Danio rerio: one gene and its partners. The protein of the gene in region 1 interacts with the protein of each later gene in a pairwise test. Links are inferred from orthologs where the notes say so. Each region holds a gene or a part of one and is shown on either strand. Other genes may lie near its edges.

Region 1 (4,455 bases):
ATTGGTTGTGCATTTTTTATTATTTTTTTGCATAAGAAAAGTGTCTATGTTTACACTATGTTAAGTACACAAAGCATTACAGTCAAATAGAAAGAAAGATCATTTTATTAAAAAGTAACAAAAATAAAGTGCAATTTCAACTATTTTATTCGTGGTTTTTCCAGTTCACCAGCTCTCAAATCAGTGGGTCCACAAGTGCTAATGAGATCATTAGTAAAAGACATTCCTAAAAACGAGGTGTTAATGGTGGGCTTTTTCTGATGGCTACACCTCAAAACATAGGTGGCCCTATACATCTTGTTAAAAGAATATGGTTAATATTTGTTGGTTTAGCTTACTTTATAACATCATAAGTATTTGAATGTTATCAAATTTCATTTTAAACAAACACGTTAGCAAATAGTGGATTCTTAAACGGTAAAAGTGTAAAGAGCTGTTTATTTGTGGCTCAGAAATGGGGATTTAGCCTATGAAAACAATAAAAAGTGTAATAAAACAGTTGTACAAGTAAATAAATACATCTCTCAGAATGTGATATATTTAATCCAAAAAAATATTTACCTTATTTTACAAAAGACATCTTGTACGCATATATATTTAGAACATTTTGTGGCTTTTTATGACCAAAGCAAGTGTGAACCAAGACAACTTTTGACAAGACTACATAGTTATTCATTTAGACTATGTGCTAACCTCCTTAATATTAACTCATACTGTGGTTTTGGTAGACAATTTGAATGGACTGATAGTTTGAAACATATTGTCAGGACTCTATAATGAGTGAACATGTATAGAGAAATGAAAGGGTTTGAGATAAACATGCATTAGAAACAGAAACACATTTTCAGTTTAAAACAAAATATAGTTCACAAAAAAAATTTATAGATATCCACAAACATTTATACAAGTATGTGGCAAAAAACGAATTAACGTGCAACAAAATACAATCAGATACTCTGAAATTAGAAACCAATACATTGGCTAATTGTATTGAGTTGAGAACGATGCCTAACTGCACGTTATCTTTCGCTAACGTGTTTTCTACTTATGCTTTATGAAAGTTAGACTGTTTAATATTTATGCTGATAATCGTGCAAGTGCTACATTTGCAATTCACATAAGGAGTGAATGTTCGCGCATCACCTGTCTCGCCGGAACGACAAATCCCCTGAAGTTCCTTACGGACAAGATACATTGTAACAAGCAACAGTGCGGTTGCAACGCGAATCGCTTCATTGTAATATTAATGTAAATATCTATGGTATCATTATACACATGTATTCTTTTGTCATGTCGTTATAACTGGAAGTCCGCGTAAACCTACTGTATATACACGTATATAAGGAAGGAAAGAATGAATGAAGAAAGCGCTTCGTCTGAATATAAAGTGATCACCCCGTCCGGAAACCAATGTGTTTACACCAGCTGTTACTGGTAAATGCGATAATACCTGTAACATTATTTCAAATTTAAAACGTACCGTATTCATACACGTATTTAAATGTTTGTTGCAGTGAGGAGAATGTGTGGAAATTGTGTGAATATATCAAGAATCAGAGACATTGTCCTTTGGAAGAGGTGTATGCAGTATTTATATCTAATGAAAGAAAGAAGGTGAGCTTCATCTCCACACAAGTATTTTACATTTAATGAAATGTACAGTTTTCTGTTATATACATACATACACACACACACACACACACACACACACACACATACATATATATATATATATATATATATATATGTATATATATATATATATATATATATATATATACATATATACACACACACACACACACACACACACGTATACAGTCACCGGTCACTTTATTAGGTACAGCTTTCCAACTGCTGCTCAACGCAAAAATAAGCCAATCACATGGCAGCAACTCAATGCATTTAGGCATGTAGACATGGTCAAGACGATCAGCTGCAGTTCAAACCAAGCATAAGAATGGGAAAGAAAGGTGATTCCAGTAACTTTGAACCTCGAACCTTGAGGAGATGGGCTACAGCAGCAGAAGACCACATGGGTGCCACTCTTGTCAGCAAAGACCAGGAAACTGAGGCTACATTTCACACTGGCTCACCAAAATTGAACAATAGAAGATTGGAAAAGCGTTGTCTGGTCTGATAAGTCTCAATTTCTGCTGCAACATTCGGATGGTAGGGTAAGAATTTAGCGTCAGCAACATGAAAGCATGAATCCATCCTGCCTTGTATCAACGGTTCAGGTGGTGGTAGTGTAATGGCATGGGGGGTATTTTCTTGGCACACATTGGGCCCATTAGTACCAATTAAGCATTGTGTCAACGCCACAGCCTACCTGAGTATTGTTGCTGGCCATGTCCATGCCTTTATGACCAGTGTACCCATCTTCTGATGGCTACTTCCAGCAGGATAACGCACCATGTCATAAAACGCAAATCATCTCAGACTGGTTTGTAAAACATGACATGAAGTTCTGTAATCAAATGACTTCCACAGTCACCGGCTCTCAATTCAGTAGAGCACCTTTGGGATGTGGTGGAATGAGAGAATCGCATCACGGATGTGCAGCCAACAAATCCACAGCAACTGTGTAATGCTATCATGTGAATATGAACCAAAATCTCTTGAGGAATATTTCCAGTACCTTGTTGAATCTATGCCACAAAGGATTAAGGCAGTTCTAAAGACAAAAGAGGGTCCAACCCGGTACTAGTAAGGTGTGCCAAACAAAAGGGGCCAATGAGTGTATATATAGTATGTATGTGTGTTAAAAATTGTGTAATATTTCAGATACCTATTTGGAAACAAAAGTCCAGTCGAGGGGATGAACCAGTAATTTGGGTAGGAACTTTATATGTATAAAAACTATGCATATTTTATGGTAGTCTCTAATTGATATAAAAATGTTGTTTTCCATTTAGGATTACCATGTTATTCTTCTACACGCAAGTAAACAAGGACCGAGCTTCATTTACGATTTAGACACCATTCTTCCATTTCCTTGTTCGCTTGACGTTTATTCAATGGAGGCCTTTCAGTCTGACAAGCATTTGAAACCTGCTTACTGGAGGCAAGTATTATCTGGTCTAATCTGCATTCTACAAAAGATGAAATAACATAAGTGTAACAAGTACTTAATAAATTTATAAAAGAAAAGCACATCATAAAATGTGAGGACAAAATTGAATGAAGATTTTAATATGAATTAGTATTTTGAGGCTGCATTGTTATCCATTTAGTATGGCCTCACATTATTCTTGTTTTAAATATAACTTAGTATTTTAAACTACTGTTACACTTAACTACATTTTAGAGGTCATCTTATGTAAATTGTGGTGATGGACAATAGTCAATTAATTTACTTTTGCATTAAATAATATTATTTTTATATATATATTTTTTAACAAATGCTTAAACTCCTTTATGTCTTTGACCCTTATAATAATAATAGCCAGTCTTAGTTGAATGTAATCAAAGTGTTGTTTGCTCTTTTAGGAAACTTCGAGTCATACCCGGGGACACTTATTTGAAGGAGTTTGCTTCTGATCGGTCTCATATGAAGGACTCCGATGGGAATTGGCGTATGCCACCTCCAGCATATCCATGTTTAGAGACACCAGGTTTGTTTTCTATTGCAGATTTATATACAGTAAATACTATAATTTGATTTCTTCTTCCACTTTCATGTATAACGTGTCCTTTTCAGAATCCAAAATGAATCTTGATGACTTCATCTGCATGGATCCCCGAGTGGGATATGGAGAGGTTTACAGCCTTTCAGACTTTGTTAAACACTTTGGAGTAAAGTAATGCTTTTTTTCCAGCACATTTTTTGTTGTTGTTGTTGAAAAATGTACATAAACAGAGCCTCAGGGAAAGATCCTATTATGATGGAGAATGCTGCAACTAAGCAGGCCTCAAAAGACACATTTATTGACTCTGAAATTATTTTTACTAATTGAACAGTTGGCAATGTGGCTTAATTATAGTCAGGTAGAAAGGTCACAGAAAAGAAAGCCATTGTTGTCATTTGTCGAGGATGTGTATTATTTTTATAAAGAAATCAGTTACACAGATGTACAGATAATAAAAATGCAGAATTTAAACAAACAACCAAACCGAAATGCGAAACTGTGTAAGCAGTTGTAGTGCTGTAGTTTTTAAGCAATTGCTGCCAGGTAATCCTTCACCTCAGCGGGCGACAGTCTGCGAAACCCTGCTTCATTACAAATGCCCACCTCAATGTTGTCTTCTGTCATCTGACCTTCAAAACTTTCCTGTAGATAAAGAGAAAACACTATAATGTAGCCTTGTTGAGATTAACTGGGGTAATTTGATCTTCTCAGTTATTTGAGATGATTGCTGTTTTAATTTTTGACATGCAAACAAGGGAATATATTTTACAATTGTTATCATTATATTATACCATGGGGGTTACTGAATGTTTGATACCAATTG
Region 2 (3,294 bases), on another chromosome or scaffold:
TTGATGTGTTTTTCCAAAGTTACATTCACTTTACATTATATCAACTGAATTCAGTATCAGTAAGAGCTATTTTTCCACTCCAAAGAAAAGTGAACAGGCTAAAGTGCCATTTGTATTTTTACTCATGCAGTTAAACGCAGCTCAAATGTAACATAAATGTTTTCACGTTTAAGTAATCCAAAAGAAATGCTATGAGCTTTTTTTAAATCAGTTTTAATATACAAATATGAAATGTTGGGGAAAATGCAATAACAGGTTGCATCAGTTGACTGTCCTATTGAATGAATCATTGAATCATTAATTCAAATAATCACTCAGACAGCAGATTCGTTAAAGAATGAATCTTTGGGGATTAATCACTGAATCACTGACTTAACTGATTCGCTCAAAAACACAATCCTTCAGTTACGAAACATCTGCATTTCATATTTTTGTAAAGAAAATACTTTTTTATTTATTTGAACACTTGGGGTTAGGTTTAATCATATTTTTTATATAAAATTAATGGCTGGTCCAAGTCAAAAATAAACAAAACGACATGCTTAAATATAATTTCATGATTTTCAAAACCTGGAAGTGTTTTTTATTCTCCAATGTTTGCTGGAGAACTTTGTAAATTAAGTGTTTAACATAGCTATGATTTGATGACATACACTTGAAAAATAAACATGTAAACACTGTGCATATATGCAGGGCATGCGGAGTGTAAGCTGTATATAATAAATGTTTCCAAAATGTAAATAAAACAGTAAAGAAGTCACTGTTTATTAAAGTAATTCTTTATTGAGTTGAAACTATTTCATTGTACATATTGCTTGTCATAAAACCCTCATCATGAACCAGTGAAACTCTACTCATTTAAATCACACAGGAAAAACCCCTCCATTTCTGATGGAATAAGAGACAATAGTAGGCATAATAAGCAAAATTCATCAATGGAAGAGCACCTGTCATTGACCTTAATAAAAGTGAGACTATTGTTACAGTTTCTGTGCCTGCAACCAGGTTTTAAAGTGCTGGATTTGAGCGGTGACGCTACTTTTCGATGTGCCACCGGGGGCGCTGTACTGTTCAACACTTTTGACGTAATCCCACACTGAAGAAACGTCCTTGTCAAAAAGAGAGCTGAAAAGAAAACAGAAATAAACAGATTGATTTTCATTCCATATGCTTTTATCAAGCCTTTATTTTTTAATGTGCCTGGGTCAAAAATGAGACACGCCATTTCCTTGTTTGCAGTAAAATGCATTTACAAATATATACAGACACACAAGCTCAGAGACTGATATATAGACCATCCTAAGGGATGTAAACAAAGACAGTGGTCCTTATGTGTTTCCTGTTCTACATTTTTTATTTTCTATAGCTTTTAAGAATCTAAAAAGGTCCACATATTGATAAATAATGTTATGATGGCTTTTTTGATGGCAAGTCATGATTGAATTGCCTCTTGTTACAGTTTGATAACAAGCAGAATATGTTCATGGGCCAATTTCATGACCACATTGAAATGGTCTATAATCGTCCAGTTAATAACCTGTAATATGAGCTAATAAGTAATGCATTTGTCATTCACATTAATGCAGATTTTCACAGAATGACACTAACATTATATAAAGTTTAAGGCAAAATAAGAGAAGGTTTACGGCAATTTTGAACCATACTATTTTTAATAAGTAATTTCTAATAACTAAAATATTTTGTCATTACCATAAAGACTAGTTATTTTGCAAGATACCTGTATTCAGCTTAAAGTGTAATTTAAAGGTTTAAAAACGTTGATTGGGTTAACTAGGTAAATTGAACAACAGTGGTTTGTTCTGCAGGCAATTAACAATAAAATCTTAAGAGGGTTAAAAATACTGACCTTAGCAGTTTTTACTTTTTAAAAATATATATTTTTTATTAAAACCAAAATAAAGTAGTAAGACTTTTTTCAGAAGAAAAAGATTCATAGGAAATCCAAAGAGAGAAAAAAAACAAACATAATAATTTTAAAGAGCAATTTTATAGTTTATAATAATATTTCAGATAGATGAAGAATGTCTAATACCAAAAAAATGCATAATAAACGTGATAATATCAATACTGCAATGCATTTGGGTGTGTGTGTGTGTGTGTGTGTGTGTGTGTGTTATTGATTCATTTTAGATTCATTTATGCCCATAAAAACTACAGGCAATGCCAAAAGCTAACTGCAGGTACAGTAGCTGGAGCACCAGTCTTAGCAAGGAGACACAAACACAAATACTATTGAGGGTTGTAACTGTTAAAATAATTTTACCACTGTTATAGACTGAGAATCGCAGCATCAGAAGTTTGGAATGGTTTGTTACACTGAATTAAATTTCCCAAAAAATGATGGACAGAACTTTGCTTTTGCCATTAATCATTAAGGGGATTCTTCGCCCAAAATACCCATTCTTAAAACAGCAAACAGAAATTATTCATGAACATAGCTTCAAACTGTTATTTTTAAGGCCCCTTGTACGTCAGAAGCAAAAAGTCCTGTAATACCAACAGTGTAAGAAATATATTTATGTACAAATGAAAGAACATACTTATTCTGATCTATTGTGGCCAAGCATAAATGTTTAAAATTACTATCAGTCAGTATTTTGGGGCTGCACTGATATGAATATATCATCAAATAGTTCTTGTTCTAAATATTTCAAGAAGATATTTTAATATATAAACTTTTGCTACATTGAATTATATTTTAATGGTTAAAAATCATGATAAAAATGTATAATCATTTCATTTTGTTGTTGAGAAACACATTCGAAGGTATGGGGGGTATTTAAAACCATATTGAACTATTTTCACCTCATTTATCTTTATTTTCCATCTTTGTCCCATTACTAACCTGACCGTCTGAAGGTCCTCTACAGTGAGTTGGGACAGTCGAATGTTTTTAGATTCCGCGATATAGACAGCTTTCCCAGCACAACCATGAGCCTCTCTGAAAGGCATCTTTAATAAAACATGAACAAACATCAGATTTCATTCAGCTCTGCTCCAATGCAAATAGCATTTATTATAAAAAAATATCTAGCCTTCTGTACTCACTCCTTTTCTGACCAGATGATAGGCGAGATCAGTGGCCAGCATATCTGGACTGAGGGCTTCTTCCATCTTTGCTTGATTGACCTAAAAAAAAAATAGAAAAATATAACATACTGCAAGCAGAATCTACAATTAATAGAAAAACTTCTCCTTTCACTGCTTAAATTTCACCCTAAAATTGGATTACTACACGTCCAACAGGTTTACATCTCATTCCACTTCATTTAC
Region 3 (4,692 bases), on another chromosome or scaffold:
TTAAAAAAATAATAATTAAAAAAAAAATATATATATATATATATATATATATATATATATATATATATATATATATATATATATATATATATACAAACATTAATTTTCATTTTAATAATATTTCAACATTTCGAGTTATTTAGTGAAAACAATTAATAAAATCATATACATACCTTGACTGTTTATGCACACCTGTAATGAAAAATAAAACAATAGATCTGTAACAACTTTTAACTCATATCCATCAATGTAATATATTAAACAAAAATGCAAAGATGATATAAACCCGTAATTAAACTGTTATTATTTACCTCTTCGTTGTCCTCGTCAAAATATTTCACTTGAAAATGGCTCAAGCCGAAAGTAGTTTTAATCTAAAAGTTATAAACAGAAAATGTAAAGAAGGCACAGTAAGATTAAAACGAGAACGATATTTTACATCGTTAGTGTTTATTTAGAAGCTGTCATCTGATTTATGGCCGAACAGAAAGGTCAAGAGCAAATAATAGATATTGCTGCAATTTACATCACTGTGGATTTTAAAAGAAGACCCAGCTAAAATACATGTTAAGACATATTTTCTATGACAGGATTAAAGAATTTGCCTGTACGTTATTCGTTTTTAGCATCCGGTTAAAGGTTTGTTTATGTAGGCCTCAGCTACGGCCTTGTAGGACCAAGAAATGTAAACGTCCCCACATAAACGCCACCCAGCAAGGCTTAATGACTCCTTACCCAGGCCTCCACAGTCTCCCACTGTGCTTTGTTCGTGTCCAAGACTGGAAATTTCTTCACGTTGCCCCTAAAGTTCACTTTGACAGTGACGGGGAGGTTCATGTCTGTGAGCCAGAGTCAACGGAAGCGTTTGATGAGGGGATACGACGCTCTAAATGCCCGTGGTGCTGTCAACACTGTGAGACTTGTCTTTTGCGTTCTTGTTTACATCGCTAGATTCAGACACGCCTCCAATGTACGTCACAGGAAGTGTCTCGGATTTGCTTACGTTCGAACAAAATATTTTTATACTTTTTATCAAATATCAAAATAAAAATTGTTCAATGGTAAGCGAAAGCTTTTAATTGTTCTTGTGGGTACTTATATTGTGATTTCATCAAATAATTTATGTACAGCGAGAAATATGACGCAGACATGCGCTTCACTCTTTTCCAAGTCGTCAAGAACATAGATATATCAAAATACATAGATACCGTGTTAAAAGCGATATTCACGTCAGGGATCAGATTTACCTTTTAAAGAGAGAAATAGAATTTGTAGCCATAATGTCAAACTCTATTACTAGTATTATTCTTAATGTTCTATTTTATTATTATTACTTACAAGAACAACAGTGGTAATAATAAATAAATAAATAATGGTTTATTATGATTATTGATTGATGATTGTTGATGTTGTTCTTGTCATTTATTTTCATTATTGTTATAATTATTACTTAAATTACAGTATCTCTGTTATTGTTTGTTTGTTATTTCCCCCATGTTCATTAATATATTCTATTAACCATAAATTTTTTATCTAATTTGCAATTAATAAACCAGCTAAATCAAAATGACCTGACCTTTTCATCAGCGAATAAGCCCAGTTTAAACTGGGTCAGCAAACCCCAAATGTTTTATAGTAGCCTACATCAAACAGTCCATACTTTTGATCCAGCACAATTCACCCAACAATGTGTTCAAATAAATAACCCAGTACTTTTTTCAGTGTCTATTTAGAATACAGCCAAACCGCACACGAATAAGCTGCGTTGTCGTTGCATTAATTCGACTGAATTTGGTCACGAATGCCAGACTCTTTCTGCACATCTATCATGTATTCGCATCTATGGCCTCTGTGTTTTACGTCATCTAAAAGCGCGCAAGTGCCTTGTGGCTGACAGCAGTTAGTAAGCCACACGGTTAGTTAATGCTTTTAGGACAATCCCTTCATTTTCACATTTCTTGAATTAATACGATGTCTTCGCTCCTGAAGGTGGACAATGAAATCAAAACAAAGGTAAAAGTCTTAACGTTTCTTTTATTTAAACACGCCGCACTCAAATAAACTGTTTGTAAATGTTAGCATTGCGGCTAGCCGGCTTGCCCGTGAGTCACCTCGTGAGCACATCTGCTAACTTTCAGATCCAGATTTGCTTGTAAAATCAAACAGTTTTCAAATAAAATATTGATTTAAACGTTAAGTACGTTCGGATTGTATATATCAGATCACCAAGCTGAAGCCGAAGCCCCCACATGTTCGGCGGAGTCGTTGTTAACAGCGGGTGTGCGGATGAAGCGTGTTTTTAGCACAGCAGCATGTCGTTACGGGAGAATTGGAGAGAAGTTTGCCATCGTTTTTTTCCATTAGCGAGCTAAAAGTAATTTTTAATATCTACTTATTTTGTCAAAGGTTTACAGTTAAGATCATGAGGCTAATAAATTAATCCAGCGGGATTGTGCAGTTCTACATTCAGCGCCCTAAAACAGAAAGGCCGCCAGCTGTTTTGTTTTCTTAAAGCGATTTTATTAAAAATAATAAAAGCAGTGACTGCAAAATTCAGATTGGGAATTGCCTTAGTTGTGTTTCTAAAATTACATATTAATGTTTTTGTCTTGTCAGGTTGATGCTTTTAGAGAACGAATTACATCAGAGGTAAATTAACGGAGATTACATGTATAAATTATACATGTATTATTTATATACCGACATTTCTTTGACTATTTGACACTTATTGTTTTATTGTTGACATATAGGCTGAAGACTTGGTTGCAAACTTTTTCCCGAAGAAATTGTTAGAACTGGACCAGTTTTTGAAGGTAAGTGTTTGATGGTGGTTTATGATCAGGGTTTTGCTTTGTCTCTCTTCAGATTGAAGGCAAAAAGTCGTAAATTGGAGCAGAACGTTTTAAAATTGCAAAGTCTTGATTAAATGCTGCATGCACTTCAATGATTTGAATGATTTTTAGTTTGTTGTCCAGGACAAAAATCTAAACGTCCTTCAATTAAATCACATTGACTTGTTATGAAAAATTATTTTTTTCATTGTAAATGTTAAAGAAGAACTTTAAAAATCTCAACGGCTACATATCTTGAAATGAAAAGTCAGACTTTTGAGAAATCAAACTTAAATAATAATGCTTAAAACAAGTTTCTGCAGTTTTTTTGTTAGAAGTTCACTTTACTTTGGAAAAGTTTTTCAATGAGAAAACCCAACCCAAAAAGTTGGTGTGGCTAATACAGCCCATGGTCTAACACAGGAGACTGTCTTATATTTTTTATTATTTTTGTAGACTGAAGTAATTGACAGCTATGTTTTGTTCTGATATTTGTAAGGGCTTTAGAGTTTGTGAATGGATATATTTGACAATTATTTAAAAAAATCAAACTAAATTATTAATATTATAATTGTTTTGTTAAATGTATTACATTACAAAAAAAGTTATAGGGCAACTGAAAATCTTTTCTAACTGGGATATTTAAAAATAATCCTTAGCATTTGTAAAATTTTGCAATTTAATTCGTAATGGTCTAAAAAAATCTTAAATTTTACTTGGTGAAACCCAGATGTTGTTTTAAAAGGGGCTGAAACCCCAAAATGATGCATTGAGTCTTTTACCTGTTGTACAAACACTCATACATTTGATCACTTGTAGGATCCCACAATTAATATCACGGAGCTGCAGGAAATTCATTCAGAGATCAATCTGACAGTGCCAGACCCAATTCTGCTTACAGACATCCACGATGGGATTGAGGGGGTAAAAGTCATTTTCTTCAAGTGTCTTCTTCATTAGTCAGTCATATCATCTATTGATGTTGATCAAAAATCTCTGAATATGATAAAAAGATAACCTTGACATTTTTCTCAATAGCAAAATGCTAAAAAGAGGAAATTTGAAGATGGAGCAGGAGACGACAAAGGTGGGTATTGTCTTTAGTTTACCAAGTTAAACAAATATGTTTTGAAAGTGTGCAGTGTTGATTGTCAATGATAACACATACTTGTTTTATTAAATGCTCATATTGAAACTGGGAAATATTTCATTCTGTTTTTTATATTTATGCAAAGAATATTTATATTAACTATAAATAAATATTTATGAGCAATTCTCAGTGCAACACTGGTGTTTTGGCCCTGGGTGAATGTATTTTGCATTAATCATTTTACTCTTCCTAAAGACAGGTTTCAATTCATTTAAACTTTTTGCTGCCCCTACTGGCTGTTTTAGAGTTGTATTTGTATAATCATGACTGTGTTTTATTCATGACAGGCCAAACACTCTGCAAAATACTGTTGAAATTTACTGGGGGAAAAAATAAAAACGGAGATCTTGTTTGTTTGTTGTTTTGTTTGTTTTTCGTTTGTCTTTTTTCCTCTCTTTTCCATGTGCTCTGCTGTGCTGACAGATCCAGCCCTCACTCTTCTTTACATTATACTAAAGTTCCTGTTTGTACAGTGTGTCTTAAAGTATTAAAAGTTGATCAATTAATGTAGAGAAATTTAAGGCCCTCAAAGTGTTGAATGCTATTTTGCAAGGTATTACATTTTTTATAATTTTTGATTATACAATGTATGGTTTTATGCTAAAGTTTGCCTGAATTCTGTGAATATCGGGATGCTGTGTAGTTTATGAAATCATACTAGATTTGATATCATGCTGCTTTATTGCAGTAACCAATGCAACACTCTCTGAT
Region 4 (4,660 bases), on another chromosome or scaffold:
TGCGCCATCACAACTTTACACATTACATGATCAAAGATCATATTGAATATTCGGTTTATTCGTCAGAAGCCTATAGATTTGTTAAAAGTGTATTTTATAAACGGATGGTTTATAAAGACTAAGCTATTAATATATCAGACATTCATTAATACATCAAGACATCGATGTCAGGTAGGACAACAAATCACATCCATGTAATGAAATCTTGTTGAGTGGTATTGGTGCGTGGTTTCAGCATTTCATGTGCAATACGAGTAAGAATATTTTAACCAAGTATCGACCCAAAACCTGATACTGGTATCGGTGCATCCCTTATTATTATTATTATCAAAAACACACTTGTTTTATTTATGTGGGTGCCAAACAACAAACTATGAAATGCAGCATGACACGCCCAAAAAGTGTTCCTTTGAGAACAACTTCATAAATATGTTTCTTATCATTATGCATGAATGGTGTACTGGGAGAGCTTTGGTATCAGAATTGAGATAAGAGACTTTGGCATTCTAAAGGACAATGACATTATCACACTGACAGTCAACAACACTTTATTGCTCTGGAAATCTTATGTCATGGGGCAAAGCTGAGGTTCATTAGGACAGTACCTTATTTAGAGATGAATGGGAAGGCTGTAGTGGGCTGCTATCAGGGAAGGGTGGTGGTCCTCGGGGGAACTATGGACTCACAAAAGCACATCTGCTGTAACAAGATCCCCTGTGCAATCTACAAAAGTTACAAAGAGAAGCATGGTTGGTTAAAAAATAGAATTGACTGGATATGCTGAATGCATTGTTTGTTGTGTGTTACATCACATTAACCACAGATTGGTGCTAAATATTTGCTTATCTTATAAAAACCTGTGTGTTTATAAAGGGGGGTGTGGATGGATGCTTGGCATTCTTTGAAAAGATGTTGGGGGATGGAAGGAGGAGACCTTATTGATGAGTATCCAGTTTGCAGATAACAAGTTTTTAGACATTCATACTATGATGCTGTTTATGTCTGTTTTTTCTCATTTTTTCTATACACAAACAGCTATAAAACATTCACTTTTATATCTGATGCTGTATATTAAATTTCGTTGTATTTATTCTGTTTGCTCTGTTGGGTCATAGCTAGGGCCAGACAGAATCTGCTGACATTTTTTGCTTTTTCTGCAGAGAATTTTGTAAACAATCTGTGATTTATGCGAGATTTTTTCGGGAGTATCGTAACTAAAAACTTACTATATGAAATAAAAAAAAATAATACCTTTTTAACTTTTAATAAATATATACAATGCAAGTCCACCTAGATCCAATTATTTGGTCGACAAAGCAAGTCTCTCACATAATATATCTTCTAAAAGACAGAAAACATTACTTTCAGACCATATTGTAATCAAATGAACACTTTCATATTAGTCAATAATATTACGGAAATGTATTTAAAAACTGAATAAACATATATTTACACCTTTGTCTTTATTTCTAGAGTGCTTTTACAATGTAGATTGTGTCAAAGCAGCTTAACTTAGAGGATTAGTATAGTAAATTGAAACTGTGTCAGTCCATTTTTTAAGAGTTTAAGTTCAGTTCAGTTTAGTTCAGTGTGAGTTAATTTTTACTGCTGAGAGTCCAAACACTAAAGAGCAAATCCAAATACACAAGTCAATAAATAAACTCAATGATGGGCTAAAGATCTGGGGAAATCTGCAGATTTCTGTGCGCACAGATTCTGTGTGGGCCTAGTCATTACCTATACTCAACGTTTACTCTGAGAAACTTCCATATTTTAGAGGTAAAATGCTCAGAATTGTAAAAAGTCTTGTCAAAATACTTGGAATTTGCCAAAAACAAAATAAAAGTCACATCACCTCATTGTCCTTGGTATCAGCAAGCACTTTTAACACAATCAGCTGTTTTTGTTTATAACTCCCACTGAAGGCCATGTGCATTACTCCCAAGTTACACAGTAAAAAGTCACATGTAGTTTATCATGATCACTGCTGCTCAAGCACAGCTTTATCTGTTATTCAGTGTGGCAATATCTGAAATGTGTGCAAAATATTATTTATTGTAGCTGATCACCAACACTTTCAGTGTTTTTTTTTTCTACTTTTAATGAGAATTATGTTCTTAGGATTTATCCTTATAAACCTCTTTAAAAAGAAATGTTATGTCTGCATAGACACGACATGAAATTATGAACAGAAAATTTAACTATTTAAGATCAAGACTTGACATATAACATTTCTAATGAACATTAAACCTGAGGTAGGCCCACTTGCAAAAATGTAACTGCTATCACTCACTTTATACATCATTGTGTAACTTGTACACACAAAAATAGTGAAGCAATGTGGCATGGAATGCAGGTCCCATTCATTCAAAGTTATTAAAGCACTTTCTTAAAGTGCATTACTACTGAGCTAAGACCAGCTAGTTGCTCATACAACATACTACAAGTAGTGTCATCCTAATTTGGATAAAAAAAATGTCCATTTTATACATGGAAAAGTACTCATTAGATCCCCCATTGTTTGTATTACGGTATTTCGTGAACACAAGAGGTAAATGACCTACAGAGCTGCTGTTGTGTTAGATTGAAAACACAACACAGGATCATGGAGGCATCCATCATTATGACGCATTCTGCCACTTGTAACTCTGCACAGACTTTTTGAAAAGTTTAATTGAGTCTTGGCGTTGTCGCAGAAAAATACGAAAAATTCTGTGTTAAAATTTGCAAATAAAAATTCCAGTTTTATAGGAAATCGCCATGGCCTTGTTCTTTAACCAGTTAAGCTTCCCCTTCTTTCACTCTCAAGTTGCAAGAAGCAAGTGTAGCAATGTGCACGCGACAGCCGGGTGTGTGACGCTGGACCAATCAGAGCACAGAGCTCCGAAAGTTTACCTTTTATGGCTAGAGCCGGGTATGTGCCGTCATATAAAAGAGCGCGCCCAGCTTTTCAGCCTCACTTTGAGCTCCTCCACACGCAGCTAGTGCGGAATATCATCTGCTTGTAACCCATTCTCTTAAGTCGACAACCCCCCAAACCCAAGGTGAGTTGGTTTTACAGTTTTTAAGCGTTTAATTATAGTTTCTATCTATTAATGTTAAGTAAAATGTGTAAATGGATAAATATGATTTGATGAAGTCTTTAGACAGTTCATAACGGTCTCTTTGTAGTTATCTACTAGGTTTGATTTATAAGTGGTGGTTCTTTTGATAATCTATGTTACATTTAATAAATATTGGCTGTATCTTAACTTTTTTGTAGCGTTAGTGGATGTGGCAGGTGAGAATGTCGGTAATTTAACGTGACCAGTCGTAGGCACGACATTGAACATTGAATAGGCCGGTGTGAAATGGGTGTTAAGTCTTAATATAAAGTTGTGTTCTGGCTAATCTCTCTTTAACAGCCATAAATGTGATTTTTAACTACAGTTTTGAGGGTGCTGGTGAGCATGTTGCACACTTGATGGATAGCCGGCATGGGAAGTTCTTTGTGCAGGCAGTGCTGCAGCAGGGTGTGACCTACTTTAGCTAGCCGGCTAACCAGCTCTCATCTGATGTAACGTAAACCCCATCAATCTAACATCGGCTCATTCGTGCTTTATAAGATCGAAGATCTTGTTATTAGTAACGGGTATTGGCATTTAGTTTTAACTTGGTTAATTTTCTTTTTGTTATGTGTTCTATTTAAATGTAGCCTGCAGCCCCCTCTGTCTTTAATGAAGCTGAAGATTAACGTTAACGTTAGTGAAGTGTTGTATCCGCTATGAAAGATTTGAATTTTAGAGGTGTGGTCCACTTTAATAACGGCTGCGGAGTTCTCTGGCTGCACTTCAGCCGCTGTGACTGTCGAAGCAGAGCCCATCAGTTTTTCAGGATCTCGGTGATTTTTGAGGCTAGACTATGAACTGAACCGACTGAGAGTGACCGTCCAGAAATGCTTTAGTGTGAAGTCTCCGCTCACGAGGAGTCCGTGGACTGACTGCAGATCTGTGACGCAGTAACACCCGGCGGCAGACACCCGTTGAAATGCGGTTGTGTAATTGATCGCAGGCGAGGGTGGAAGAGGATGTGAAACTTCATTTGTGTAAAATTTAGGGAGTGGTCCTGGTGTGATGAATGTCGAAATCTGTTCCTTTTTACTGAGCCCTACGACTCTGGCTGAGTGCCACACCGCCGGCAGCCGCAAAGCGGCTCAAACCATTGCCTTTTATGGTAATAATGAGAGAATGCAGAGGGACTTCCTTTGTCTGGCATATCTGAGGCGCGCGCTGTCACTAGCGCCCACCAGCGGTCAGACTGTAGAATGCAGAGCAAAACAGGAAGTTGACTCCAGATGGTCACATGCTTGCTGAAACGCCTCTCCCTGGCAGCAGTGCAATTCTAACAGTTTCCCTTTCTTTTACAGTTCAGCCATGGATGATGAAATTGCCGCACTGGTTGTTGACAACGGATCCGGTATGTGCAAAGCCGGATTCGCTGGAGATGATGCTCCCCGTGCTGTCTTCCCATCCATCGTGGGTCGCCCCAGACATCAGGTGAGAAGACCGATTAGTTTGATTCTGACCCAAACTGAGAACTTTCTCAAGTAGTTCACAAAATGTAACGCTTGTGTCCTTGCATTACAGGGTGTCATGGTTGGTATGGGACAGAAAGACAGCTA
Region 5 (3,966 bases), on another chromosome or scaffold:
TTAGTAAACAAAGTCTGTTATTATGATATTTGTTGTTTAACACTTTAAACTACAGTTTAATTGAATAAATATACAACTTACAATTGACAATATACTTTAGATTTTTTTCTTCTCAAATTTAATTTGATTCCTGTTAAAAGGAAAAATGTGTCCTTAAGGCTTAGTTTATTATTATTATTACTATTATTATTATTATTACTATTATTATTATTAATGATGATATTATTAATATTATTAATGATATTATTATTATTATTATTATTATTATTATTATATTATATTATTTTCTATTATTACTTATATAATTATTATTAATAATTATATTATAATAATTATTATTATGATTATTAATATTATTACTGATATTATTAGTATTATTATTAATCATATTATTATTATTTTTATAATTAAGTATATTGTTGTTGTTGTTGTTGTTGCTGTTGTTATTATTAATTATATTATTATTGTTAATATTAATATTTGTAGTAGTAGTAGTAGTAGTAGTAGTAGTAGTAGTATCATTATTGTTTATATTATTAAAATTAATTTTTATTATTATTATTATTATTATTATTATTATTAATTATATTATTATTATTATTATTATTATTATTGATATTATTAATTGTATTATTATTGATATTAATATTATTATGATTATAATAATTATTATTATTAATAGTATTATTGGTAATATTATTATTATTATAAAAAAAAAATAATTTGGTTGTGATTTTTGATGTTTGATTGTATTTTTTAATACTCTTGCATGTACATTATGAATGTATGAATTTAAAAACATCGTACCTTAACTTTACATTCATAACACTTGTTTTATGATGTGTTTATGATGTCTCCAGTCAGTGAACTAGTTCTGCTACATTGAATATTTCCCTCATGAAATGCCTGTTGTCCTGCAGGAGCTGGACCTCAGAGGGTCTGCATGAGGAGCGGTCGTGGCCTGTGCTTAGTGAGCGGTGTGTAGAGGAGGAAGAGGAGACCTCTACCCTTCAGCACAGCCTCCACAAGCTGAAGCAGCAGCTGGCGACGGAGCGAGCCCGACGGGTGGAGGCAGAGCGAGAGACTGAGCTGACTGTTCTGGAGAACAGTGCTCTGGAGGACCGCCTGAGCCTGCTGGAGGGAGCCCGCCGCAGACAGGTACAGCCTCCACCCGTTAGCGCATTAGCTTGGGCAACCTAAAAATATGTCTTTTTTTTTTTCGATTCGGACGTTTAGAAATGAAACTTAAGAGACAGATGATGTTTAATTTTACTGGTGATTCCAAATATGTAATGAGATCTTAAGCTTTGATGAATTTGATGTTTCTCCGCTCAGACAGAATGCCTGAGCATACTGCCCGAGAGGCGTTTCAAAGATGGCCGCCGAGTGAAATGGCTTCCCTTAAAAGAGACTTTGGTTGTTATTAGTGCTGCCAATCGATTAAAAAAAATTAACTAATTAATCGCACCTTTTTAAAAAAATTCATCGCGATTAATCGCATTTAAAATACTGAAACTTGTAATTTTGGCTATTCAAATGTAAAATTAATGTAAACGCAAGACAAAAACTATTTAAATTTAAAATATAATTGTTTATTAGAATTAAAATTCAAAATATAATTGTTTATTAGAATTTTTGTTTAACTTGTAACACAGATTTCTTCACGTAAACAACATACCCACAATAAACCATCAAGATCCTGGCTTGACAGGATCCCTCCTACCTCTTCAGGTAGCCTATGTCGCACCACTCACCCCCACCGTCCTTCAGGTACGTCTCGAGCGCACACGCCCCTACTCAGATATGTCGCTCACTCCACCCCTGACACCCTTCAACCGGCCTGACACAGACACACACACAACGCGCTGCAGACGTTTTGGCCCCAACGGCCTTCCATACTGGAGCGACTCCCCTCAGATTCAACACGCATGATCACGTTCATCAAATTTGCCTAAACTAAGCGTCCTAAAGTATTACTGTATTTCACAAGGATTCTGACACAACATCGTGAAGCATACGCTTTTGTTGCGTTTAATGAGGAAACATGCTAAACTTGGAGGGTTCATGCTGAAAGGCAGAGTAATGCCCTGTCTTTGACAGCTCGCGACTTCATCAGAGACTTTCTGAGTACATTCGCATAAGACACCAATACTCCGATTTTAATATGATTAAGATAATACTCTTATTAAAATTCTACCGTGTAGCCTAAGCAGTGATTTTATTACCTTAAAGCAACACCGAGTCACGAAATGCGGAGGATTTTCTTTCTGTTCGCCATGCGGTATCAACTTACAACAGATGTCGAAAGTTAAAAATGAAACACCCGAAATTGCATGAAACTCTGGAGAGCCTGGTTATGCGACTAATTGTTTTATACTGAAACTTGCCTTCAAAAAGTGGTTCCTTGGTCTTATCCACATTTCTTGCATGTTGAACACACGTCCACCACAACAGGAAGTAAAAAAAACCTGCAACTGCGTAAATTTATTTTAACCCGTTAATTCAGGGGTGTCCAAACTTTTTGGGCCGAGGGCCAGAAGCAAAAAAAAAAAAAAGTTATTCCCGGGCCATATATTAAATACATTACACAGACACGTGCATATATATATATATATATATATATATATATATATATATATATATATATATATATATATATATATATATATATATATATATATATATATATATATATATGTGTGTGTGTGTGTGTGTGTGTGTGTGTGTGTGTGTGTGTGAATATGTATATGTGTATATATGTATGTATGTATGTATGTAGCCTGTGTGTGTGTGTGTTATAGAATTATTTTAATTTGTTATTTTAATTCATCGTCCAACTGTGTTTCTAGAAAGACTTTCGTTTTTAAAATCTTGAATCTTCTCTGGGCAAATTACACTTGCAACACTCCTCCCTTATAAATTCTCCTTCAGTGAAAGGTTTCCTGTGCTGTGCGATTAGCTGGGCTACATCATAACTAGCCAGCGTAGAATTTTCTTGCACTTTATTAGCACGAAAAAAAACTGCTGTTGTTGAGCTGATAAGCCAGCTGCTATTTGTTTTACTTTTTGATCTCGTTCGGCACCAGTGTAAGAGCTGAAAGCCTGATGATTTATTTTATAATGTCTTTTAATATTATATTCCTTCATTACTGTAACTGATTCCTGGCAAATTAAACAGACACATTTCCCGCTGACCTCTGTGAAGAAATATTCTTTGCCCCATCCTGACTGAAATTTCCTGCACTCACTGTTGATTTTCCTTGTTCTTGCTTGTGCCATGGCTCGCCTAAACCTGATTATGAATTATGTTTCTTTCAGTTTGTTGTTCGGTCCGTTTTACTTCATAACAGGAACTGCTGCCTAATTGAAGGCATGTAATAGCGACACCCGGTGGTTATTTATTGAATTACACACATTTTTGTATAGTGGGCCAGTTTCTATAAAATATTCATAAAAAGCCTTGCGGGCCGCCACAAAACTGATCGCGGGCCGCAGATGGCCCGCGGGCCGTAGTTTGGACACCCCTGCGTTAATTATTTAAAATTAATCGCATGCGTTAGCGCACTAATTTTGACAGCGCTAGTTGTTATATAACATTCCGCCCAATAAAACAAGCTATCATCCATACTTGCATGATACATGCTGCCTTTGTTTGCACTCAGTGATGTTGAATTTGAAATGAAATGAAACAAAAACATGTGGTTGTTGCATAGGCTAATGATGTTTTCTGCAAATGACCAAAGTATTTTTATGAGCTGAAAGGCAGAATGCGAGTGTTTTCATCAAGCTCGACATTATATAACAGTTTCAGGTTGGGTTTTAGTGTTTGTAACATGTGACACACATTGTGACATGCGGTTTCACTTTTGACAGGCGGAGCTGGAGGCCGAGGTGGAGGAGCTGCGTCTGCTGTGGCGCTCCGAGTCTTCCAGCTCCAGACTGACCGACACGCTGCTGCCTGACAGT
Region 6 (4,628 bases), on another chromosome or scaffold:
TCAATTGTCAGTTTGTATATTGGTATTCCATACTTATTTGTTCTATTCTTCATATTTACTATTGTTGACTTGCTTTATTATTAGTGTTTTTCTTCTGTCATGAAAAAAATAAAGTGCTTACTCTGAATCATTATAATAATAGTAATATCTGCAAAACACTCAGATATCTATTACAATGTCAAATATATTTAAAATAGTCTGTTTGTAAATTTGGTTTAAAATATAGATTTTATTGTTTAGATAACCTTGTGTCTCCTCATCGATGATGAGTAGGTTTAGTCTGAGTTTACTTGGGATGACTTTGGACGTATTGTTTCACAGTATCAACAATAGTTGAGACCTCAGCCATGGCACCTTTACCTGTGAAAATAGAGGGCAAACTGTAACATGAGCTGAAACCAATGAAACATCACTTTCTTATAATCAAGAAGCATGCTAATTATCAAATCAGTTTGATCTTTAGTTAACAAAATATTCATGTGTGACTTCACACATTGTTTTGAAGTAGTCCTTATCAATGCAACTGGCTCATAAAACCATTACTGTATCTTAGAAGATACCTTCATCTCCACAGACGAGTTTTTTGGCAATGCATGGTATCTCAGCGTAGCCAAATGCTTTAATTGTGGACACTTGCTGAGCAGTAATTGGATGCTGCCACATGGCTGTGTTCATAGCAGGACAGAAGAGCAAAGGGCGGCTGATGTCCCAGGCCCGCACCACACACGTCTGCCATAAACAAAACTGGTAAGCACACTTCGATGATAACGCATACATTGAAAACGCCACTGGAATGTAATAAACAAATTACCTACCAGGAGGTTGTCACATATACCACTAGCGATTTTGCCAAGTGTGTTGGCATCTAGTGGAGCGATCACTAAAAGATCTGCCCAACGTCTTAATTCAATGTGAAGAACTGGGTCAGAGCGCTTTGTCCACATCTAGCATAGAAATATGAGGAAAGCAGTCAATTTAAATCCTCTTATAGGAGCTTTTTTAGATGATGCGATTAGTCTAGGTACTGATGTAAACACCACAGCAGGAAAGAACACAAATACAAAGTTGTTGTTTGCAGTGAAAAAGAATCTCTTCCCCTTTAAAGGTAAAACTCACCTCCCACTCATCCTTATCTGTGTACACACGAACAGGGACTTCATTGATATCGTAAAAATGAGTGGCATGGTCTGTGGTGACCACACGCACATCAACCTGAACAACAGAACAGGACAAATGTCTGGTTACCTCACAGAGAACCCATCTTTGAAACTTGAGTTACTCTTAAGAGATATATAAAACCGTTTAAAAAACATTAAAAGTTAAGAACAGGGTTATAATAACTATAATAAAGCTGTTATATAAACATTTTGTTTTTGATTTTCTAGTCACTTATTATTTATTTCATAAAACTGACTAATTGGTCTAATAAATAAAAGAAAATTACAACCTGAAAAACATTCCTTTTATATTTATTTTTAATAAATGTTTTGAAAAGATAAATGTTGTTTTTTCATTTTCTGAAAATGCTCTCTTTTAAAAAAGTCTTTTAGAAATAGCTTTTTTGAATGTCAAAAAAGAAATTAAAAAATATGATTTTATAATTGAACAACTATGATTTTAAATACAGGTTAAACTTTCATTTTTCATTAGAAATAGTATTCATTTTTTCATCAATTTTTATAACCCTTAAATGGGGAGAATAACAATATCCAACATCAAAACAAACGTAGGGTAATGATTTACAATTCACCTGTATACAGGCTTGTAGCCAAAGGGGTTTGGGTAATTCTAAAGGCCCACACCTCACTTGACAATTGTTCATTATTTGTTCCATACATGAGCTCATTTGTCCTATTTTGACTGCTATGCCATCATAAATTGTTTAAACAAATCATCTAAAAAGGCTTTAAGACGCAGCGGAATTCTCTGCTGGCTTTTGCTTCTGTGTGACTTCAGCTAATCAGTTGGTTTTGACCAATGCAAACAATTCTTTTTTTATATTGAGTCCAACATCCAGCTGTGCAAGAATATATGCAATCTGACTTTCAGTACTGACCTACTGTATTGTTTAAATAGAGAAAACATTTAGGAAGTAACTTTTATTCTAAATCTTGGACCTACTCTTGAAAAAAAAAAAAAAAAAAGTGTGAAGCACCAAAAGAAGCCCATATTGAATTAATTCGAATACTTATGAGAAAGGTTAGAAAATTCATAAAGCTTTATAATATTATTATTATTATTATTATTATTATGTAAATGGACAAATTCTGATTGGTTCTTTTTTTAAATTACAAATTTGTTATTTGTCAATAGGTTACAGTACAGACTCATTTTTTAATGATATTGGAGGAACATTTGTATTTTAAGAATAGGTATTTATTCATATTTTTTTTTAGTATTTAGTATTTTTTTATATTTTTGATAGATCAAAAAGTGATGACCATTCGACAGGCTAATCCAGCTAAAAATATTGCTAAAAATATGACTAATATGAGGTATATAGATCAAACAATTACATAGAAGATGAGGCGAATAACTGCATAAAGGTCCCCTTTTTGAGAAAAAAGAACCACCCCTTTTACGAGGCTGCCAACGAGCCTGTGTATGTTTGCTTATTTGAGATAAAATTAAACTAATACCATTTCCTTCTTTTACATTTTTCATTTATTAGACTACAATAGACGACAAGAATATAACTTGAACAAAATGTTTAAAGAAATAGCACTCTCTAGCGGACAAATGTATGAAATGAAAAGACATTGGAGAACATGAACTCAAAGACATCCGTGTCTCTGTCAGGTTAAGACAGTAATGATTTACATTTTGTTCTGTCTATGTAAACATACTCACCTCAGGAATCTCAAGAAGTTGTTTAACCAACAAAGGCGCCTTGAGTGCAGCGACACTGCCGGTCAAACCTACCAGAACATGAAATCTTGAACCAGTCTTTTGCAAGTCTGTTTGTAAATGATCAGATTCAGAGTTCTGCTGCATTATAAACACACTATTTAATATACTTGTTAAAGTATAATGCTTTAACTTTAGACTGAGTGAACTACCCGAACAAAGTTTCCTCATATAAGATAACTATTATTTATATAATGTATTGTCAATATGTAAACTGTTTCTCGGATAAGACATTTTGGACATTTATATTACACATTTACTGCGCGTTAAGAAGCGGTGCACGTTATTAACCGTCGCATATTTTTCAGGATTTGTCCACTTCCGTAAACATTGGCGTAAAAGCGGTTATAAACGACGTCACAGCGCCTCCTCTGACTGGAAGAGTAAGTTAAGCTGACAAATGGATAAATCAACACACAAGAGTTTTGCATTCATTCATTCATTCATTTTCCTGCGGCATAGTCCCTTTTTTTCATAAGGAGTTGACACAGCAGAATGAACCACCAACTTATCCAGCATTTGTTTTACACAGCGAATGCCCTTCCAGCTGCAACCCATTACTGGAAAACACCCATACACACTCATTTACACACACTACCGCCAATTTAGCTTACCCAATTTACCTATAGTGCATGTCTTTAGACTTGTGAGGAAAACTGGAGCACCCGGAGGAAACCCACATGGACTGGGGGTGAACAAGTAAACTCCTCACAGAAATGCCAACTGACCCTGGCCAGGACTTAAACCAGCAATCTTCTTGCTGTGAGGTGACTGCTAACCACCGAGCCACCGTATCGCCTTTTGCATTTTCAATGAAAATGAAATATGATTTAAACTTCCCCAATAACAAGTGTGACGCGATAAAAACTTCACAGGAGATTTATCCTATATATGAATGCCTAAAAGTGTATAAATCTACAGTGTATGGTATTTTATGGTACTCATTTAGCTCATAATGTTGCTAAAATTCTCCGGCAAACCATTTGCCAGACATTAATTAAATCGTTATTAAAATGTTGCCTGATTTGCTATTTTATTCATCTTTTTTATCCCTGTAAAATGTTTAACTCTAAACCAAAATAATGATTCAGATCAAAGTACTTTTAACTGAATTCTATAGTCTTTGTTCTGCTTGGTCTTGAATGGTCTTGCTACCTTTAAAAATGCAATAAGGGGTTCAGGCGAACAAAACAGGGAGTCAAAGCAGGTTGCATGAACAAATAAGGCCTCCAAGGTATTTGAAAGGAAAAGCGGAACTAGGTTTACATTTTTTATTTTTTTTTTTGTATCTCTGAGTTGACACTTTGATTAATGATCTGAGTATCTGAGCTAATTTTGCCCATTTTTTAAAGTCTTGTGCAATGAAATACATAAATAGTGTAAGATAAAGAAGAGGACACACACATAAATAAATAAAGAAAAGGAAAATAATGTATGTAACTAATCAAAAAGACATAAAATGCTATAAAGAAAAACACAAAAAGGTGATTCATTATGGAATTATTTATGGAAAAACTCAAATAGTATTTCAACTTTTTCTACATTTTAGCAAACTGCTTGTTAGTGTTGACAGAAAAAGTCAGAGAGAAAATTGTTTTGGTTTTGTTAAAAATTTGCTTTTATATATTATAATTAAAATTGGAAAAACATCAAATTATCTTACACAGTGTTGAGACAATATCTGATTTGAAACAAAGAATTTGGATAACTCAAACCAAAAT
Region 7 (4,591 bases), on another chromosome or scaffold:
AATTCCAAATCTTCTGTTTTACTTTTTACCTCTTTTTGTGCAAATGAAAATAAAGAGAGCTCAAAGATCACTGTACATGTGATTGCAGTGATCTTTGAGATGTGTTGGACATTTTTATTACCATAAGACTCTACATGAAGATTGACCAAAGATTGGCTGGGATTAGTTGCCTGGGAGCAGTCAAAGGAATGTTGGACACAAATAAAATCTGTATGTAAGTGCATTTGAAGATGATACCTCTTACTCATAAATGGCATAAATTATAAAAACACATGATTAAAACAAGTTTTTAGTGTTTAAAAAATTAAACTTGAGAGAAAAAAAATCTTCTTAAACAAAACCATAGGGGGGAAAAGCAAACAAGCAAAAGTGAAAGCAATCGCTTATCATGTTTGTACTCTTTTTATGTTAATTATATTATTTAACTGTGATGCTCTTTTATTACAGTGTGTATAAAAGTGAGTACATCCCTAGCACTTCTAATTCTACGTCTAATTGCTCTTCTAGAGATGAATAAATGTAGATTTAAAAATAAGACCCTGGGTTAATTACTTCACCTAAAGGAATAGTTCAACCAAACAAAAATTTAATTCAAACAAATAAGAAAATAAGGAAATCTGACTCCCATAGTAACGTTAGGCTATTTGATTTTCCAATTGATGTCAATCGTTACAGGTTTTCAACATTCTACAAAATATCTTCTTATGTGTTGTGTTTAACAGAAAATAAAAAAATTAAACTTGTCCAGAACATGAGAGGAGTGACTAAATGGCAAATTTTCTTGGTGAACTATACCCTAATAAGGACTTTTTGACATTTTTATATTAGTTTTTTTTATCTAATGTAAATAAACAACCCTTAATGTACATTTAATTGTGTCACAAATTACCAACTTATCTGCAGATTTCTATTACAATTGTTTTTTTTTCAATTAAGTTACTCAAATAGCTAACGTTATACGAGTGCTGTTATGGCACAGTACATTAAAATATCCTTTCGTATTAATTACGAAAACCTTAGTTATGGCTGATTTCTAAAATGAGATAGTAAGCCCTAAATACAATATTATTAAGTATAATATAATATAATATAAATATAATAAAGTAAATCCTCAATACATTTTGAAGGCAGTATAAGACAAAAAGAAATCACTGTTTTTGTCACCTGACGACCTGCATGAATGCTCGATAAGTTCTACTGCTAAAGTTTGTTCACGGTTTAATTATTATCTCACTGTGTGAAGTCACCCAACTGCATCACAGGCCTCTTCAGTTCAAACACTTCTATTTCGCTCAGGCTTCTGGCAGGGCAGCAGAAACAGGGCCCATAAATTAATATTAAATAGCGCGTCGTGACGTTTCCCGGTGAGCATCCAATCACGCAATGCAGTTAATATTCATAAGACGTTCCTTCACCATAGTAGGAATCGTAAACTCACGCTCTGGCCACAGGTTGAAATCCATTCCAGCCGCTTGACCGAGACAACATCAGCGCTGCGCTCACAGCACCCACAAACATGGTAAGAAAAAACAAATTACATATCTATTGCATTCTTATCGTCCGTACCATTAACAAACTATTTAAAGTCTTTGTCCATACTCTCAACATGCAAGCATGGAATTTCCAAACAACATGCCTCTTTACACTATATTGGGTTGAACAATGTTTATTTATTGTTACTAAAATGTATTTTAAAATATTATATGTATTTTTATAATACTATTTTATTCATTCTTCACCTAACATTCAGTTGGTTGAGTTATTATTATTTTTTATTTAAAATATATACTATAAAATATAGTTAAAAGCTCATTATATAACATTCATGTTCATCATTTGCACTGTTAAGTGTTTGAGATGTCAGGTCTTTTACCTCGCTGTGTGTTCGCTCGTGCATCAGCATTAGTTCAGCAGATTAGGCTGTTGCTAAGAGACCTGTTGATGTCAGTCAGCTTTATCAGCGTTGGAGCTTCATTTTGACTGACATGTGTTTGCACAGACTCTTTGACGCAATATACTGATGATGGTTCAGTCTGGGACAATAGTGTGTGTATAGCACAAAAGAACACGCTGACACAAATCATCTTCATTTCCCTTTCATTCAGTAAAAAACCATGAATGCTGGGGAAAGCCTGTTGAAATCTCGTGTCATCTTCTTTATTAATGCTTTTTTTTTTTCTTGTAAGAGACATGTGTTTGAAGCTCATGTGATCTGTACTGAAAGTGGGAAAAGGGGAAGGGTTAAGTTGCTTAGGAATGTCATTGCCTCGACCAAATATGCTGGAGGCTCTTAAAATTGAAAATGCAAGTCATCATTGTTTCCATATGGGGTTCACAACAACCAATCACTGTGCTTTTTCTGAAACATCCCCATTGGAGTGTTTGTAAGAGTGTGTTCGTAAAGCTGTTTAAATAGTATCTGCTATATGTAAACAAACTATTGGTATGTACAAATAATTAGCAATCAATAAAATCTAATCTAATCTATAGGTATAGTAGGGTTTAAAATTTAAAAGTGTGTGTGTACTGGAGAAGTCTGTACTGCTCAACAAGCCGGCATTTATTAAATCAGAGGCAGTCAAATTTTGATATGTATTTACTGTTTTCTACTTGATTATATTTTAAAATGTAAAATATTCCTGTAACTTAAAAGCTGATTTTGTTAAAGCGGTGGTTCACTTTGATATCATGTTTTAAACTTTAGTTGATGTGTAATGTAGCTGCGTGAACATAAACAACATCTCTGAATGTAATTCAGCCAAACTTCAATGAGACATTGGCTTTTACAGTTAGCTTACCAAAGCCTACAGTGAGTGAGAATTGTGGGGACTACAAAAAACATCCATGTTAGTGAGATCACGAACGCTTCAGGTTTCGCGCATTCACTACACGCAGCAAAAGGGCATGGCCTGAGGTGCTGTAATGTAGCTGAGAAAGCTAAAATGCTGTCCAAAATGCTACAGGGCTTGTTCTGTTTCTGTATTTGGGCTTCCTAAGGACATGACACATATGTGGGCTTCCTAAGGACATGACACAAAGAGAAAAGTGCTTGCAATTGAATTTTAATTATGTTCTAGAGAATTATTAAAAATATATATAGCCAGTATTTGACAAAGGACAGCTTCCAGAATCATTCCCAGTTCAGTGCTGGATTCCGATAAAAACTCCTTAAAAAAGGAGCAGCTCCAACCATAATAGAAGAAGCTGTAGATTGTGAGCCACAACCTGTAAGCATTTTTAATATTTGTTAAAATTGACCTATTACACTGTAAAAACCGCAACAATCAATGTGTTGGGACAACATGAAGGAATTAAGTTAGCTTATTAGTTTTTACAAATTTAAGTAGATTGAACATAAAACAATTAAGTTGTCCCCAAAAAACTCATGAATTGTGTTGTTTAAGCTCGTTTTAAATAAGTAGTTTGAACAAACTGCAAACGTCATTTTTTGAGTGTACATGCATAGTGTCTAGCGTTAACAGTATTTTGTAGCATGGACGTAAACATGGATGTAAACAACAGGAAATGCTGATAGGCACCTTTAACAATTTAGCTACAAATTAATATTTGTCAGTCAAAACCCTGTAAACACCCACAATCTTCAGTAGCGCTGCAAGGCCTCTCTATGCGGCCGCTTTCCCTGCATTCTACATCACAAATGATGAACTCACAAAAGACATGTAAACGTTTCATATTACTTGCACATGCTTATTCTGAATATATGTGAAAGTCAGATTTTATTTTAGAGAGCAGGCCTGAGGTTCAGCTGTGTCCTCTGTGTCATTTTTCTGTCTGATTCAGGCACAAACTGATACGGCTAACAGCTACTCTGACTGACAGTGTTTATACATCGCAACAGTGCATGCTTGTTAGGACGTGATGCTTTTCCTGGTGGTGTGAAGCCGATCTGCGAATCACAGCACATTATGTTAGCTGACCAATCAGAGCCTCCTGAGGGCGGGCCTTTCAGAGGAACTAGGAAATTTGACAGTCGTTTTTATGTTAGCTGAGCAGCTGTATATAATATGATAATATATATAAATAACATGATTTTCTACAAATGAAGCATGAGCACACATTGTTTTGCATCTTATAACCGCTACCAAGCCTTCAAAATACACGTTGGACCACTAAGCATAATTACCCCAGAGAAACGATTGTTTAGATATAACGTCTAATACACTTTAAAGGAGTTCAAAGAGTTGTAAAGACATTTAAAATGTTCTAGAAATAAAAGGGCCTTCATTAGGGCTGCACAATATTGGACAAATGGAATATTGTGGTATTTTAGGTTTCTGTGATTTTATGTATATTGCAATATACTGTATCTAATTAATTTCACCAAATGATTAAATAGCAGGATTTCTAGTCACACTTTATTTTAAAGTTCAATTCTCGCTATTAGCAAACCATTACCTATGACTTTTGCTCATAATTTGCTTCTCAACAGATATTGAGTTAGTTTAGCTATTGGGTTAGGGATGTAGAAAAAAATCATGCATATTTTGTACTTTATAAGTACTAATAAGCAATATTTTAATAACAGTCCCTAAAGTGTTATCAAATGTGTTCATTTTGATTGATTGGATGA

Evidence for each region.
Region 2: the proteins of ntaq1 (region 1) and asl interact in binary tests that used the Homo sapiens proteins (3 or more experiments, as listed by UniProt). The two-hybrid records come from large-scale screens. The link is inferred for Danio rerio from reciprocal best matches to the Homo sapiens genes NTAQ1 and ASL.
Region 3: the proteins of ntaq1 (region 1) and psme3 interact in binary tests that used the Homo sapiens proteins (3 or more experiments, as listed by UniProt). The two-hybrid records come from large-scale screens. The link is inferred for Danio rerio from reciprocal best matches to the Homo sapiens genes NTAQ1 and PSME3.
Region 4: the proteins of ntaq1 (region 1) and actb2 interact in binary tests that used the Homo sapiens proteins (3 or more experiments, as listed by UniProt). The link is inferred for Danio rerio from reciprocal best matches to the Homo sapiens genes NTAQ1 and ACTB.
Region 5: the proteins of ntaq1 (region 1) and cdr2a interact in binary tests that used the Homo sapiens proteins (3 or more experiments, as listed by UniProt). The two-hybrid records come from large-scale screens. The link is inferred for Danio rerio from reciprocal best matches to the Homo sapiens genes NTAQ1 and CDR2.
Region 6: the proteins of ntaq1 (region 1) and ppcdc interact in binary tests that used the Homo sapiens proteins (3 or more experiments, as listed by UniProt). The two-hybrid records come from large-scale screens. The link is inferred for Danio rerio from reciprocal best matches to the Homo sapiens genes NTAQ1 and PPCDC.
Region 7: the proteins of ntaq1 (region 1) and pcbd1 interact in binary tests that used the Homo sapiens proteins (3 or more experiments, as listed by UniProt). The two-hybrid records come from large-scale screens. The link is inferred for Danio rerio from reciprocal best matches to the Homo sapiens genes NTAQ1 and PCBD1.

Annotation. Positions count from the first base shown.
Region 1 is NC_133194.1:37,454,563-37,459,017, forward strand, and holds ntaq1 (protein N-terminal glutamine amidohydrolase), read left to right. Parts: upstream 1-1,354; coding exon 1,355-1,434; intron 1,435-1,514; coding exon 1,515-1,614; intron 1,615-2,787; coding exon 2,788-2,838; intron 2,839-2,918; coding exon 2,919-3,067; intron 3,068-3,492; coding exon 3,493-3,617; intron 3,618-3,703; coding exon 3,704-3,807; 3' UTR 3,808-3,823; downstream 3,824-4,455. Other genes in the region: psma2b (proteasome_alpha_type_2 domain-containing protein), read right to left, coding at 4,158-4,274. UniProt on the Homo sapiens protein: Mediates the side-chain deamidation of N-terminal glutamine residues to glutamate, an important step in N-end rule pathway of protein degradation.
Region 2 is NC_133196.1:33,930,330-33,933,623, reverse strand, and holds the end of asl (argininosuccinate lyase), read right to left. Parts: intron 3,151-3,294; coding exon 3,070-3,150; intron 2,974-3,069; coding exon 2,867-2,973; intron 1,126-2,866; coding exon 981-1,125; 3' UTR 764-980; downstream 1-763.
Region 3 is NC_133187.1:29,024,177-29,028,868, reverse strand, and holds the start of psme3 (proteasome activator complex subunit 3), read left to right. Parts: upstream 1-1,854; 5' UTR 1,855-1,971; coding exon 1,972-2,013; intron 2,014-2,616; coding exon 2,617-2,649; intron 2,650-2,750; coding exon 2,751-2,813; intron 2,814-3,650; coding exon 3,651-3,755; intron 3,756-3,869; coding exon 3,870-3,918; intron 3,919-4,692. UniProt on the Homo sapiens protein: Subunit of the 11S REG-gamma (also called PA28-gamma) proteasome regulator, a doughnut-shaped homoheptamer which associates with the proteasome. 11S REG-gamma activates the trypsin-like catalytic subunit of the proteasome but inhibits the chymotrypsin-like and postglutamyl-preferring (PGPH) subunits.
Region 4 is NC_133178.1:39,482,345-39,487,004, reverse strand, and holds the start of actb2 (actin, cytoplasmic 2), read left to right. Parts: upstream 1-1,716; 5' UTR 1,717-1,729; intron 1,730-2,954; 5' UTR 2,955-3,044; intron 3,045-4,405; 5' UTR 4,406-4,412; coding exon 4,413-4,535; intron 4,536-4,625; coding exon 4,626-4,660. UniProt on the Homo sapiens protein: Actin is a highly conserved protein that polymerizes to produce filaments that form cross-linked networks in the cytoplasm of cells.
Region 5 is NC_133178.1:62,633,307-62,637,272, reverse strand, and holds part of cdr2a (cerebellar degeneration-related protein 2), read left to right. Parts: intron 1-920; coding exon 921-1,158; intron 1,159-3,873; coding exon 3,874-3,966.
Region 6 is NC_133193.1:20,361,931-20,366,558, forward strand, and holds the start of ppcdc (phosphopantothenoylcysteine decarboxylase), read right to left. Parts: upstream 3,231-4,628; 5' UTR 3,079-3,230; coding exon of another isoform or gene 2,995-3,078; coding exon 2,851-2,994; intron 1,213-2,850; coding exon 1,117-1,212; intron 945-1,116; coding exon 816-944; intron 730-815; coding exon 561-729; intron 361-560; coding exon 287-360; 3' UTR 1-286. UniProt on the Homo sapiens protein: Catalyzes the decarboxylation of the cysteine moiety of 4-phosphopantothenoylcysteine to form 4'-phosphopantotheine and this reaction forms part of the biosynthesis of coenzyme A.
Region 7 is NC_133188.1:28,937,782-28,942,372, forward strand, and holds the start of pcbd1 (pterin-4-alpha-carbinolamine dehydratase), read left to right. Parts: upstream 1-1,497; 5' UTR 1,498-1,516; coding exon 1,517-1,519; intron 1,520-1,873; exon of another isoform or gene 1,874-1,987; intron 1,988-4,591. Other genes in the region: si:dkey-192p21.6 (uncharacterized protein), read right to left, coding at 122-257. UniProt on the Homo sapiens protein: Involved in tetrahydrobiopterin biosynthesis. Seems to both prevent the formation of 7-pterins and accelerate the formation of quinonoid-BH2. Coactivator for HNF1A-dependent transcription.